Rhinolophus ferrumequinum: one gene and its partner. The main gene of each other region encodes a partner of the protein of the gene in region 2 in a complex. Links are inferred from orthologs where the notes say so. Each region holds a gene or a part of one and is shown on either strand. Other genes may lie near its edges.

Region 1 (8,003 bases), on a different chromosome or scaffold from region 2:
AGGCTTAACATGCAAAACCACTCTTCAGAAAACATCTAATTTAGACAATTTCAAGTGCATGTAAAACTTCTATGCCTTTTTAATAAGCACAAAGCCAAATACCGAAAAATCATTTTTATATTGTTTTTGGAACTAAATGTGCCATAATACTCTACTATTCCAATAAAACTCTTCTTTTTTCTTCTTTTCAGTGAGATCCAATTCTTTTTTTTTCTATAGAGTATTTAAACACCTAAGTCAAATCATTCTACATCACAGTTTATGTGACATTTCTTCTGCTATTTTAAATACCGTACCACAGTGATTCTTAAAGAGTGTCATAGGACACTTTCACAAAAAGGGAGAAAATTTCAGCCCCATTTTTCTACATACCATAGACAGATTTCCCAAGAACAGTGAAGACTGTGTAAACCGGGGAGACCTCACTCCTGTTCCAAGAATGCTGGAAATATCTGGCTGCCTGAGTAAGCTTCGGTTTGGTGGAGTAACTACAAATAAAAGGTTAGTAAAAAACTCATCCAGAGTGCATGAGCATTGATCATGAAAACAGAACAAACAAACAATATGAAGAACAAATAATTTTCAGTTGTCAATTATTTAGATTCTAATCAAATAAACATGTTAAATATTAACATTTCCATGATATGAAAATTTAACTTATTTTGGTACTACTGAGCCCATCAGGAAAAATTTTACTACAAATAGATATGCTTTCATTATAACATAACTGAGCAGTAAAAAAGGACACTAATGAGTCAATAGATTCTTCGTATTTTAATTTTATAAAATAGCACACTGAAGAGGCAGTATAGAATAGAGGGCACGAGTTTTGAAGTAAGCAGATCATTATTTAAATTTTGGTTCTATTACTTACATACTTAGTTATGTTATCAGCATTAATTAACTTCTTAGTTTCACTTTCAGTTTTGGCAAAATAGAGATAATACCTATGTCCCAGTTATTGTGTATGTAAATTAGTGCCTTACACATGGTAAGAGTTCAACAAATAGTAAATGCAATCATTATTATTTATTCTTAATTACTAATGTTTCAACCAAATATATTTATTATGTGTATAAGTGTTAGCTGCTATTATTACTATTATTATTATTATTATTACTACATGCTTTAAAAAAATCTTACAAGGCGGTCGAAATGAGCTGGGAGTTCGAGGGAGAACCTGGTTTCTTGGTGTAGTATTAGCAAAAATTTCATCTTGGGATGCCCGAACTATTGGAAGTTAAGAAAAGTTTTCCATGTAGAAAAGACATCCAAAAAAAAAAAAAAAAAAGACACCATTAAAGTTAGAATTACCCACATTTACACTATACAAAATATGTGATACATTTTTAAAGGACAAGGTATTTTATGGCTACCATTTTTTCCTATGCAAAGAGTAAATAATTACATCACTTACTTTCTCAGATATGTCTTAAGATTACTACACATTACACTAAGAGTTCCTAGTCAGATTTCAAATTTAAAAAGGCTATCTAACCTCCACAAAAGCTAACTACAATATAATAGCAGTAAAATCGAGCACCCTTATTTTCAGGAAAATATAAATCTAATCTCACTGAATTTCAGCATTGTATTTACCAAATAACATTATCTGGGGAGTCAAAAAAATAATTTCTGCAGCATTTTATTATTATAGCTAGTGTTTAATGTCTCTCATAAAAAGAAAATTCTATAATCCTGATCCCAAACACTCTGCAATTTTTATAATGATGCTTAAAATGCAAAGGATACTTAAAACTCTTTTTTGAGCACTCTGTTTCCGTGCAGTCCGTGTCACCTCTGCCTCCCGGATCACAGGGGATAACATCTCTCCAAAGCCACTCCTAAAAGCATAATCAAGCCCACGTGAATGAAACGAGAATGTAGCACTTGCAAAGAACTCCATCATCAGGACTGGAGCAAAGGACCCAAGTCAGTCAAGGTACAGATCATTCCAGTAGCCATGTCTTTGCTTTTTTTGTTGACAGTGCCCTCTGGCTCCAAATCCTACTTATCCCTCAAAGTCCTGCTTAAATTTTACCTGCACAGACTTCTTTAAGACTTTCTAGCACTCACTGTTATTTTCTCCTTTGCAATTATTTCAACACTTGGAATCTATATTACTGTTTTAGATAATTGCTTCATGAAGGTAAATTTTTCCTCAGTTGGATTGAGGAGTTCCCTAAAATTACTGGATTATATCTCTTAAAAAGGATTTTCTGTGGTTTCCAAAATACTTCAAACCATGGAAACTATGAAGAAATTTATTGCTTTATTTAACTGGTGAGATGGGAGGCTAAGTAAAAAAAGAATTCTAGTAAACTGGAGAAAATAATATTTCAAGTTATTTCTCTCTAGGATACACTAAGGATGTCTCCTGTCTCAGCACTTTGTAGTCACAATGCTTCAGATCTCCTGTCATTCTCAGCCCAAGGGCTATAAAATAAATTGTGTGAATTAAGAGACCTGTATTTTAAAAGAAAAATCTAATATGCTTCTCCACTTAAAACCTTCAGATAGGTAGCTACCTCTGGCCTACAGAATCAAGTCCAAATTTCCTACCATGGTTTGTACAATCTGACCTCAGCTTACCGGTTCACGCTTATATTCAGCTACAAACATCACCATACCATACAAACATACATTTGACCATTCAGCTACACAAAGCATGCACTTGGCATATCCTTACATCTCTGTACACGTTGCTTCTTTTAGAGGCGGACATTTGCCCCCTTGGTCCACCTGGTGAACACTTACTCACTGAAAAGCTTCCCTACAGGCTGGCAACTTGGTTCTATTTATTATTAATAGTTTCCCAACTTTGACCAAGCTTCTTAACCTCTTTTAACCCCAGTGTTATCTATGAAAAGAGTACCTATCCTCACAGGATTGTTACGAAGATTAGCTAACGATACAAAGTGCTTAAGGTACTCAATGTTAGCTATTATTATTCAAAGACCAACTAGAAAATTACCTCCTTTGAGAGGTTTTCCTGATACCTCCCGTAACAGGGAGACTTAATTGTTTCATTTCCTTTCCCACAGGGCAGTAGAAAACTGCCTGATCGTCTCCTCCACTACACAGCGACTACCCCGAGGCCAAGAACCTTGAATAAGGCATCTGTGTCGCAGGCGGCCAGCGCAGTACCAGGGTCCTAGGAAGAACTCAACTCAGTAACTATCTGATCGCTGGAACTTGTAATCAGCAAGTCTGGGATGAGATTCCCAGTTGCCTCACTGACTGGCTTTGGGATCTCGAGCAGGTCACTCTAGCATCTCGAATGCCGGGCCACCTCCTACCCCGCCCACCCCAGAAGCGAAAAATGTTCCGCGAAATGGCAGAACAATGACAGAGCTCCGTAGGAACGCAAGGGATTATCATTATCCGTATCCCTCTCCCAACCTGGCGGCCTTTCTTCCATCAGCTGCAGAATCTCCCAGCCCGGGAAAGTCCTCGAGTCAGCACCCGGGCCTTCCCTGGCTTCCTCTGGAAGTCGAGTTCCACTTGTTTCGTTCCGCCAACAAGCAGGAGGGACAAGTTTCCAAGCTCAGCAGTCACCACCTGAACTGACCTGTTCATGGCTACAGCCTTCTCCACCGGGAACCTTGTAAATTGGGATCCAGTTTAGCCACCGCGTTTCAGCCTTCCCGCTCTCCGGAAGCAAACCCTTCGACCCGGAAACAGTCCTCGTTCAGTTGCCGTGGAGAAAAGAAGTGTCGTCGGGGAAGAAACAACTTTCCCAAGGAGCGCCGGCGCAACTTCCTCCAAGCGCATGTCCGGTCTGCGCAGGCGCGACGGCGTGCCAGCTTGTGGCGTAGGGCGGGGCGGGGCCGGGGGCGGGACCGGGCAGGGGGCGGGGCCGGGCCGGGTTTAGCCTTGATGCGCGGCCGCCACTTTGCCTGACTGGCATTTGTGGGCGTGGTCCAGGCGCCGGGTTATCCTGGGACTATTTACTGGGAAATTTGACGTATACTGATAGTTTAGAAAAAAATGTGAAGTCATGTCCTGTGACAAAGAGCCTGGATTTGGGTTTCAGACGTTTAGACTCTGCCCTACACCTCGGGGGTTCGTCCCTCTCTCTCACAGTACTCACTGAATTGTACTGTAAACCCCCTACAGGTTTTGAAATTGTTTTCCATATGCCTATTCTTTACTCGGTATGTTTCCCTAGTAAGGAAAACAGGATCACCTGTCTTAAAAAGCAGGAAAGGTGATGGTATTATCCTCTATTTCAAAGTGCCATATAGACAAAAAGTAGTACATCCTGGCCCTGAAGGAATTAGTCGATGTTTTGCCGTAGGCATTTACAGTCTGCTCTAATCCTGGGAAACGTCATACTTTATTCCTGCTGAGACAACATGACGTTTTTTAAAAACACGTGGCTTTGGTCTCCATTAGGTTCGAACTCCCTGCCACCGCAGATTCCTCATCTGTGGAATGGAAATAACGCCTTTATCACCGAGTTCTTTTGAGGAGTAAAATCAAGATGTCAAATGTACACTGCACATAGTAGTCACCGAAGTGTTAATTTTCTCCTCGTTCAATAATCTTACTTGACGAGACCCGCAGTGGTGCTCTCTCATTCTTCCCATCTCCTAATTTTCTTGTATAAAAGTGGACTTGTTCTTTTATGGAAAATGAAATGTGATCCTAATGATTTTTGTCAGTGCCAGGGCAAGTTTATTCTAAGTGAGCCAGTGGTTCAGGTTCTTGCCATATGTTTCCTGGCAATTGAATTCCAATGTGTTGTGTTTTTTTTTTTTTTTCATGTAATGGACTTGAAGTGATTGACCATAAGGCACACAATAAAGCGGAAGAGCAGTTTTGGGCAAAGGATTAACAGAATGTTCAGTTCATATGCCATAAGGGAACACTTGTTGAAAAGTGCACTGGTCTTCATTTTTGACACACTCAATTAGTGGGCATGAACACCATACAACCCTAAAATATTTCAAAATATATTCATTCATTTGATTTCTTTTAAAATGCGTGGCACAAACTTGTATGGTGCATATTGCATACATTCTAGCTTTATTTTTAGGGTTCTCGGTTTCAATGAGAGAAACTCACTATAGTTAACTTAAGCAAAAGGGATTTTACTAGAAACCTATCAGGAGCTCACAGAAGCTGGAGGAAAGCTTGGCAAAGAACAGCTGCTCAGGAACTAAAGGCCAGGAAGCAGCCATCCCCAAATACTCAAACCACTGTTTCCTCTCCCTCACCACCAACAGCTGAGGAAATCAAACATCATTGCTTTCCCCGCCTCCCTGACCCTTTATTTTGAAAAAATGTCAAACCCACAGAAAAGCTGTAAAAATAGTAAAATAGGTATTAATATACTCTTGACTAATTGCTAACATCTCCCAATAAGTGTTTTCTCTCTCTCTTTTGTTTTTTGCCTGAACCATTTGGAAGACATCTAGACACGTCACCCCTAAGTACTTCAGAATGCATCTCCTAAATCAAGGACAAGACATTCTCCTACCTAACACAATAAAATAAACACTCAGAACTGTTCACATTGACAAAATATCACAATTAACATATTCAAATTTCCCCAATTCTCTTAATAATGCTCTTTATAACAGCTCTGCTCCAATACAGGATCCAGTAGAGCATTATATATTTAGTTGTCATGTCTTTTTGTTCTACTTTAGTTTAGCATAGTCCCCACTTTTTTTTTCCCCAAGAGTTCAAACCAATTTTTGCAAAATATTCCTCAATTTGGATGTTTTCTCCCAGTAAGCATTTTAAAAAACTATTTGGAGGGACAGGTGCAGGAATACAGAGGGTGCCGAAACAATGTACAGTATATACATTTTAAGAAAACACTGGATTAAAATTATAATACTCAATATATACTGATATCAAAAGCTGAATACAAGTCACATGTATACATTTTTTGGCTCCCCCGTACTACATAGGTATTGTTGAGTACTTACTTAATCACATCAGATGGCATATGGGGTCAGTTTGTCTCAGTTTCAAAATCTGCCTGACCTCTCTCCTCTCTGAAAAGAAAGCATCCTTTCACCTGGCACTCCTTTCTAACTGTTGCCTTTTCTCTGTTCCCTTCCCAGCCAAACTTGTTTTGGTTGCATTGTAAATGTAAATGACTCAGCCTTCGGGAGATTTGCCTATCTGGCAATGGCTCTACCTCAAATTCTATATTCTACCCATTTTCAACTATAATTCCCAACATTCTGTGGCCATTTGGCATATATTCTCCACTCCTACAGACTGGAAGAAAAAAGGGATAAACCAATGCCCACCTCATTGCCTGCTATGCAGTCATTACAAGGATGTTTAGAGAGAGTTTTAGTAACTTGGAAGTGTTTGCTTTAAATGAAGGGAGCAAGTTGTCATATATATCAGTATGCTCAGAAACAATATAAAATGCGTAAGACATACTGAAGCAGGGGGTGGAGTGAGGATGATGAAGGGATGAATAGGCAGATAGGGCAGTAAAAATACTCCGTATGATGCTATAACGGTGAACACATGCCATATATGTTCATACCCATAGAATGTGCAACACCAAGAGCGAAGCGTTTTGTAAACCATGGACTTTGAGTGATTATGGTATGTAAATGTAAGTCATCTCTTATAACGAATGTCCCACTCTGGTGGGAGATGTTGATAATGGCAGAGGCTGTGTATGTGTGCGGAGAGGGGGTATATGGGACATCTCTAAACCTTCTCAATTTTACTGTGAACCTAAAAGTGCTCTAAAAAAAAAAAAAACACAAGTCTTTTTAAAAATATATTTGTACAAAGATCATACCAAATGTTGATAGTGGTTGTCTTTGGTGAGACTGGATGATTTTGTTTTTATTGTCCAGTTCACTGTGAGGTGTTTTATTTAAGACAATTTATTTTCATAGCATGGCCCAATTGAAATTCAAACAAATGTCTTAAGGAATTCATTAAGAATTCCAATGAGTCAGATATGAGTCTAGTGAATTAAATTATGGAAGGTGCTTAAACAGTTTTTGTCATGTCCAAAAGACAATTAGAAGGATTCTAATACAGTTGTAGGATACACCGCAGTTATATAAAACAAAAGGAAGTACTTAGAGTTTAACAGCTTGTTCAGCTATGAGATGGTGTTTTTTGTTGTTGTTTTTGTTGTTGTTTTTTGTTGTTGTTGCAGTTTTGTTTTTTGAGCTCAAAACATTGCAAACAAGCTATTGTAATTTAATATTATTTTTATCTAAAGAAGTAGAATTACAGAAAGATTAGTAATTTACTTCAGGTCATAGATTTGAACTAAATTGAACCACAAGCCAAAAGTATAGTAAATAACAATGAATCATGAATTGAACAGAAATATCAGTTTTTGGCTGAACCATGAATGAACCACAATACGCAGGTTTTAAAACATGGCTTGGCTCAGGAAACAATATTGCCTGGAGGTTAAGAGCACAGTCTTGGAAATCAGGCTTGCCAGGTTTGAATCTCAGTTCTGCAGTTTATAAGCTATTTGACTGTTATAAACCTCACCTCTGTAAATGAGAATATTCTCTTAGGATAGCTATGAGGACGAAATATAAAAATAACAATAGAGCAAAGTGGTCAATAGCTCAGACTCCAGAGCTTGATTGCCGGAGGTCACATCCTAGTTCCACCACTTAACGAACTACGTACGTGACCTTGGGTGCAAGTGTGTGCCTTAGTTTCTTCTTGGGTGTAACAATAGTACTAGATCATAAGGTTGTTATGAGGATTTAATGAGTTACTATGTGTAAAGCCTTAGAATAGTACTAGGCATATTATACATGTGTTCAAAAATGATCTAATTTGTATTTATAATAATTATCAATTCATTTGACAACATCAAACTTGTGACATAGTGATAGAGGCATTAGTAACAGATCGAATTGATCCAATTTCAATCCTTTTTTTCTGTGATGCTGCAATAATAGCACAAGCATTTTTTCCTGCCTATATGAAGAGCTCGAAATAATTAATACTTTATATTGATGAATATAAATATGATTGCA
Region 2 (8,045 bases):
GGAAGCCCCCACAACCAAGACTTATCTGCCTCCAAGTGCAATCCCTCCAAACCCTGATTTATACTCATTCTCTACATGACTTCATTCAGCATAACAGCTTTATATGCCACCCAATGCCAACAATTCCCAAATCTGTATCTTCAGCCCAATGTCTCCACTGAACTCCTGACCTCTGCCTCAACACTTCCACTTGGCTATCTAACAGGGATCTCGATCAAAACCTGTCCAGAATAGAATTCTTGGACCCAACAAACCTGAAAAACAGAAACAAAAATACCTACTTCACACACAGTCTTTTCCAGTTCAGTAATGGCATCTCTATAACTTCTCAATAGAGAAATCTGGAGATCGCCCATGACTCTTCTTTTTCTGTATACCCCATATTTGATCCAATGGTAAATTCTAACAAATCCACCTTCAAAACATGTCCACAACCAGAACATTTCTCACTGCTTCTACCAATGCCACCCTGGTCTAAGCCATCATCATCTCGTCTGAATTGTGGCACCAACTTCTTAAATGGTCTCCCTACTCCCACCCTTTTCTCACTACACTCTGTTCTCAACCCATAGCCACAGCAATCCTTTAAAAACACAACTTAGATTATGCCATTCCTTCACTTAAAACTCTCAAATGGCTTCTTTCCATCTCACTAAGAGTAAAAGTCACGGCCTTAAAATAACCGACAAAGCCCTGACCTGGTCCTTGGCTACCTTTCTTATTATTCTACCCTTTGTTCACTCGTCTACAGACTCGTGTACCCTTGTCATTCTTTGAACACAACACACAAGCTCCTGTCTTAGGGTTCTTTGCACTTTTTTTCCTTAGAAGGGTCTACCTGAAATTCTCATCACTCAAACATCCTTACTCCTCTGCTCCAATGTCACCATTATCACTGGGTCTTGCCTGACTACCCGATGTAAATATTAACTTCCACAGGCATTCCCCTTCCCTCTTATCTTGCTTCCCTAGTCTCTGTTCCACTCGTCACCTGATAAGCTGCATTTACTTGTTTTCCTTATTACTGTTTAGGGCCTGTTTCCCTCCACGAAAGCAGGGACTTTGTCTGCTTTGTTCCCTGCCACATCCCCAGTCTCTAAACATTGACTGTAACATATTAAGAACTCAAACATCTTTCTGAAGGAAATGAGATGTGTATCTTTAACATAGGTCTTTCTTCTGTGCCGCAGACCTTTAAATTTCAGCACTTATTTAATATTGCCAAAGGGCTGCTGCAAATACTTCACATTTAGTACGTCTAAAAGAATTATTCAAATCTCTCAAAACCCATCTTCTATATCTCAGTAAATGGCCACCCCTCTGCCCTATACATCTGGTTAGTCACACTAGAAACCAAAGAGTTATCCTTGCTCCCTCCTTTTCCCTTATCACCTCCCACTCCATATTCAATCTATCACAGAGTCCTAGTGAATCTACCTTCTCAATGTATGTGGAATCCATCCATTTCTCTTTTCCTAGCCATTCTCACAACCAGTATCTCTTACTTGGGCCATCATAAAGGCAAATTGTTCTTTTGTATTACATATATTTAACCCAAATCCACTTTCCACAAAGTAGCCAATTTTTAAAAAAATACAATTCTGATCATGTTAGTAACCATTAAAAACCCTTCAATAATTGTTCAACGTACTTAGGATAAAATCCAAAATCCTTAAAAAGGACCTCAGGGTCCTTCATAATGAGTTCTGCCTCCCTCCCCATCTCAGCATCTCTCACATTATTTTGTTTCGCCCATTGCACTTAAGTCACAGACCTTCGGTCAGATCCTCAAACCTGCCAAGTTCTTTCCACCTCATGGACTTGGCACATTTTGATCCCACTTGCCGAACTGCTCTCTTCCTCAATCCCCTGCCTGGCTAACCATTCAGATCTCAGGTTAAATATGACCTCCTTAAAGGCCTTCTCAGCTCCACCAATAAAATGTGGTCCGCCCTTAGCCTCTCATAGCCTCTACACTATTCTTCTGAAGCAGGTATGAAACATTTGTATTGTTATACTTATGTTGTGTCATTAATGTCTTTTCCCTTCTTTAAACAGCCCAACGAAAGGTGAGTCCACAGCTAACACTGCTACAACATCTTGCATGATGAAAATGGTGGTGGTTTTTGTTCATCACTTAATCCCTAGCATACCTAGCACAGTGCCTGATGTGTAAAAGCTCACACGTTTGCAGAATGAAGTTGTAAAGCACTACTGTATTTTCCCGAAAATAAGACCTAACGGGACAATAAGCTCTAGCATGATTTTTCAGGAGGACATCCTCTGAACATAAGCCCTAATGCGTCTTCTGGAGCAAAACTTAATTTAAGACCTGGTCTTATTTTCGGGGAAACACTATAAAAACACAATGGACTGATGTTTAAAACTGATCTTTGGGCCTCTATCCCCTAAGCTACATTTCCTCTGCTTTTAGTGCTGCCCTGGGAGGGAACCTCTCTTAGAACTCTGGTCTCCTTAATCTCCTGATTCAGATACAATTAGAAGACAGTCTTTCTCTTCCTGTCAATTACTGCTTCGGAGAACAGCGGGACAGCCTTTATAAACAGCCACGAACATTCAGACACCAACTCGACTTTCCAGCGGGGTTTGGCGAACACAGCACTTACCAGTGAATGAACCTGTTTCTGGTGACAGAGAACAACTTGCCACTTTCCACATAGTAGAAGCCTCCAGCGCTCTCACTGTATTTGACGGTTCCGGTCAAGGCATTTGAAGTCCCTGCAAAAGGAGAGGGGTCAGCCTGCACACGTGGTTCTCTGAGGATGACAGGAACTGAGGGCGCCGAGAAAGCAGAGGATGACAGACTGATAATCCATACGAAGAGAAGGGGAAGAAGAGAAAGAGGAAATGGGACACTAAGGAAGCTCAGATCTCGGGGCTATAGGCATGTGGACTTAAAAGGATAAACTGGGGATCAGAGATTTAGGGACTCATGGGAGGAGCCTGAGAGGAAGGATCGGATCGCGCCCTCTTTGGCTGCTTCCGTACCAACGCCACAAACTGTAAATTCCCGAAAGCGCCTCGGCCTTTCGCGCTCCGGACCGCTGAGCTCTATAAAGCTCCGTTCCAGGGATCCCGCCGCCGCCATCTTCCCGCCGCCGCCGCCGCCGCGAGGCCCGACGGGACACCAGCACAACCGAGTGGTTGCCGTCACTTCCGGGGGCGGGGCAGGCGGAGGCGAGGACACTCGGAGATTGCCGGGGAGAAGAATGGCAGCTTCAACTGTGTCTTCCGGGGCTCCTCCGAGTGGCTGGAGAAGAAGGGTTGGCAGGGAGAAAAACAGAAGAGAAAGGGGCAGAGGGAGCCGACTCCCTCTGCGGGAACCTTCGCTTGGCCGGCCTGGACGCCTCCGGTCGTGGGGGTGGGGCGGAGCCCTTTTCCCGGCGGCCCCAGGGCGGGGGGCGGGGCTGGGTTCCATTTTAAAAACCACGGCGCGGGCGGCAGGATGAACCTCCTCCGAGGACGATGTCCGGGAGGCCATGGCGCCCTCTGCCGGATTCCGACTTTGCGATCCCCTTTCGGTGAATCTGAGTGTCCGTCTGTGAATCTCCGTCGGGTCTCGGTTTTTTCACCCTTCTGTGACACGTGGGATCGGGTGAGGGGGAGTGTAGGGCAGAGGGGCCTTTTGCTTTGCGTTGGAATTTTTTCAAGAGACTGTATTCCTGTATTTTTGTAGGATGAAACATAATGGGTTCAATTAAATATTGATGCTGCAACCTGCTGAGATTACCTAAATGCTGATTTCTTGGCATACACGAATTTGCTTTTCTTCGCACCCGTGATCTGGATGTGTGGAGGTTACTGTGGTTTTACCCCTATCTAGGGCAAAGTAGATGCTCAATATTGAGGAAAATGCTAATTTTGCGGGGGCAAAGTTACTGTCTTGATAGTTAACGGTTTGTTAAGCACTTCTGTTATTTTTTTGGTGTTACCAGTGACCGCAAACCTTATCTGTCCTCTGTTTCATTCATCCTATTCTGCCCACTCTCTTCTCTCCTAGAACACCAACTCTAGCAATGCAATCCCTCCATTCCACCTACAATCATCATTTCACTGTTACTCATTTGATGTTTCCTTCTTGCTCTGCTTAAATTCTATTTAAATTAGTGGTACCTCGGTTTTTGAACGTAATCCATTCCGGAGGACCTTTCAAGTTCTGAAACGTTTGAAAACTGAGGTGTAGTTTCCCCATAGAGAGTAATGCAAAATGGATTAATCCTTTCCAGACCTTTAAAATCAATCCCTAAAACTGCAAATTCAGCATGAATTTTACTGTCTAATGATACCATAGATCAAAAAAATTACAGCGGTCGTAAACCGAAATGTTTGTCAATGGAGACATTCGAAACTGAGGTACGACTACTCCCTTGCCCAGCTCTGGGCAAGGGAATTCATCATACTCTGATAAAATCTACAACTGTGATCAAATCCAAATCTGCAGCTGAACAGGCCTGCAGGAAAATACAGTCATACTGACATACCTCCCTCTGCCTCCATCATGACTCAGAATGTTGAGTGGGCCCATACTGCTGCCCCACAAACACTGTATATCCCTTGTCCACTTACTGTCCTCGATGAATATTTCACAGCTCCTCTAACCTGCAACACCTCCTCTCCCATCCTCACTCTCAGCTTGCTTCTGCACTTAGAAAAATGATGCAATCAAGAGTTTTCCCCCACTACCACCTCTCCCTACCTACCAGCCCGCTGTATCCACATATTCTGCCTTCCCTTCCTGTTACTATAAATAGAAGTGTCCCTGAGTTTATGGAAGAACAATCTTTCTACTTTTTCCTTAGACCACTTGCCCGAGGACATCATTCCAGCAATTGTCTCTCCTACATCTTCAGTTTCCCCCCTTTTCATTGCGTTGTTCCTCCAATCACACATTCTGTTATTTCTCCTCCCATCACAAAAAGCCTTCATTTGAGCTCTCAAGTTACTACCTACAAGGTTGGAGCCCCTCCCCACCTTGACTGCAAAATTCAAGGTCATTCTATTTAATTTTCTCTTATTCTCTCTTAAACCTTCCTTCTCTAGGCCTTTGTCAAGGTCAGCAATGACATCCTTGTTACTGTATCTAATACTGTAAACTTAATTGACCACCTTTAACATTTGATCAATTGATTGCTCCTTCCTCCTGGAAACACTTTCTTCACATGGCTTCCAGGGCACCACACTCCCTTAATTTCCTCCTATTTTACTGACTCTTCTTCAGACTCCTTTGCTAGTTGTATCTCTTTTCCCTTACCTCTTAATGTTGGGAGTGCCCCAGAGCCCATTTTTTGGTCCTGTCTATACACATTCCCTTGAGGATCTTACCCAGTCTTCTGGTTTTAAATGCTGGATATGTAGTTCCCAAATGTATATCTCCAGTCCAAATCTTTCGCCTGAACTCCAAGCTTATATATCCAACTGCATATATACAGAGGGTACCTTTTCCTTTTAAGAAAGGAAAAAAACTATAAAAATTAAGCTGATGGTAACCACTTTGAGCACCTCTTGTAATTGCAGAAGTCAGACGTGACTTGTATTCATCTTTTGTTATGGGTACATGTTGAGTATTACAATTATAATACAGTTTTCCTTTCTTAAAATGTGTATACATTTTTTGGATATATATATATATATATATATATATCCAATTGCCTACATTAATATGTCTAAAATTAAAGTCACATATGTCCAAAACTGCAGTCCTGATCTCTTCCCCTAACACTATTTCCACATCTCACCTACTGGCATCCTTCCAGTGCCTCAAGCCAAAATCCTTGGAGTCATCATTGAGTCCTCTTTCTCTTTTACCTTAGATCAGTGCCATCTCACCTTCTCTGTGCCATCCATCACCCTGTGTCTAAACTGCCAACAGCTCACCTGGATTATTGTAATAGCCTCCTAAATTGCCTCCTTGCTTTCTGAATCCTTATCCCCCACCCCTCTACTAGACTCCACACTCCAAGAATCATGCCTGGCCCATAAGAGGCAAATATTCAGTAAATATTTGAGAAATGAATGGTCCAGGCAAAAGTTGATGAAGTCCTGAGTGGCATGGAGAAGATGAGAGTAAATTTGAAGGAATATTTAGGAGATAAAATCAGTTGGATCTGGTGAAGAATGAAAATAAGAGAAGGTCTAGTCATCCAGGCTGACTCCTGTTTGCCTTGACAACTGGGTGCCATTAACTCGGTGGGAATGGTAGAAGAGGAGTAGGTCTGCGGAATGGGAGAAAGCTGAGTTGTATTTCCTTGTAGGAACAATCAATATTGGTAAATGTTCTAATGTTGCTGAATGAAAATACTTCATTGTTTAACAAAACTACCATTTAAAACTTTTCCTGAGTCAGAATTTCAAGCTTCTGAGATTCCACCCAGATAATACAAAGTAATTTCCCCATCTTTACACCCTTAAATTTAATCACATCTGCAAAGTTCCTTTTACTATGTAAGGTGACACATTTATAGATTCCAGGGATCAGGATGTGAACATCTTCCTTGGGGTGGGGACTTTTTCTACCTACCATATTTAAAATTTACTAAGTATGTCACATTTTAATTTCATCCTCATAACATCCTTACAAGGTAGTAGTATTCTTGTAAGGTAGATAACTTTTCTGAAGCACTTGTTAAAAATACAGTTTCCATCAGTTGCCACCACCTTAACCCAGAGTTCAACCTTAGCATTTCTCATTACTAAGGACAACCAGATATAAATGCCTCCTGGTGTGATACAAAGTGAAGAATACAGCATCATCTGTAAGGCATTTTTAAACAACGTTGTTAAGATATTATTCACATGCCATAAAATTTGCCTCTTTAAAGTGTACAATTTAATGAGTTTTGCTTATTCACATAGTTGTGTAACATCACCGCAATTAATTTTGGGACATTTTTATCAGTTCAAAAAGAAATCCCATACCCATTAGTGGCCACTGCTCATTTCCCCCTCCTCAGCCCCTGGAAACCATTAATCTACTTTATGTTTGCCTATTCTGGACATTTCATATAAATGGAATCATACATATGTGTCCATTTGTGTCCAGCTTCTTTCACTTAGCGTAATGTTTTCAAGGTTCATCTATGGTGTAGCATGAATCAGTACTTCATTCCATTTTATGGCTGAACAATAGTCTATTGTATGGATATACAACACTGTATCCATTCATCAGTTGCCAGACATTTGGGTTGTTTCCTCTTTCTGGCTACTGTGAAAATGCTGCTAAGAACATATGAAGTATTCTTGCCAAAAATATTTAATTCAGATTATGGTAGGCAGAATAATGGCCCCACAAAGATGTCTACCTCCTGATCCCTGGAACCTGTGAATGTTACTTCCATGGTAAAAGGGACTTTGTACATGTAAGGTTAAGGATGTAGAGATGGAGAAAGAAGCCTGGATCACGCAGGTGGGCCCTAACTACTCATAGTCCCTCAAAGGAGAGACCTTTCCCTGCTGAGGTCAGAAAGATGTGAGGACAGAAGAAAGGTCAAAGATATGTGACATTGCTGGCATTTAAGATGAAGAAGGAGGCTATAAGCAAGGAACATGGTCAGCCTCTAGAAGCTGGAAAATGCACAGGAACGATTCTCCCCTGGAGTCTCCAGAAAGGAGTGGGAGGGACCCTGATTTTTGCTCTTAACTGAAGAGAGCTACCTTGCCTATGGTTATAGCCCCTGCATCCAGTGAGGTTTCAGTGTGGAAAGTCCAAAGGGCCTGCCACCTAGCCTTGATCTAGGAGAACTCTGAAGGACCATCTCTGCTCCAGAGTGCTATGTAGGATCGGCTGATGCCTCAACGTCTCTTTCTGCCCAGTCCTGCTTCCCTTAGTTCCTTTGAGGTGCTGTTCCTGAGCGCAGTCTCCAATACACCTCCTGTAAGCCTCCTGTGCAAATCTATGCCTCAGAGTCTGTTTCCCGTGGAATCCAACAACACACACACACATACACACACACGTACCCCACATAGACACACACGACATCTTGTCTAAGGATGGGAACCAACAGGGATAAAGAATTTGGAAAGGAAAG

What was found. Proteins that work in one complex are often made in the same cells at the same time.
Region 1: NUP160 (region 2) and NUP107 share a complex: the UniProt entries of both Homo sapiens proteins name them as parts of the nuclear pore complex. The link is inferred for Rhinolophus ferrumequinum from reciprocal best matches to the Homo sapiens genes NUP160 and NUP107.

The regions. Positions count from the first base shown.
Region 1 is NC_046293.1:64,886,788-64,894,790, reverse strand, and holds the start of NUP107 (nuclear pore complex protein Nup107), read right to left. Parts: upstream 3,754-8,003; 5' UTR 3,580-3,753; coding exon 3,572-3,579; intron 1,845-3,571; coding exon 1,753-1,844; intron 1,231-1,752; coding exon 1,144-1,230; intron 514-1,143; coding exon of another isoform or gene 489-513; coding exon 373-488; intron 1-372. UniProt on the Homo sapiens protein: Plays a role in the nuclear pore complex (NPC) assembly and/or maintenance. Required for the assembly of peripheral proteins into the NPC. May anchor NUP62 to the NPC. Involved in nephrogenesis.
Region 2 is NC_046294.1:13,505,001-13,513,045, reverse strand, and holds the start of NUP160 (nuclear pore complex protein Nup160), read right to left. Parts: upstream 3,344-8,045; 5' UTR 3,110-3,343; coding exon 3,010-3,109; intron 2,740-3,009; coding exon 2,628-2,739; intron 1-2,627. UniProt on the Homo sapiens protein: Functions as a component of the nuclear pore complex (NPC). Involved in poly(A)+ RNA transport.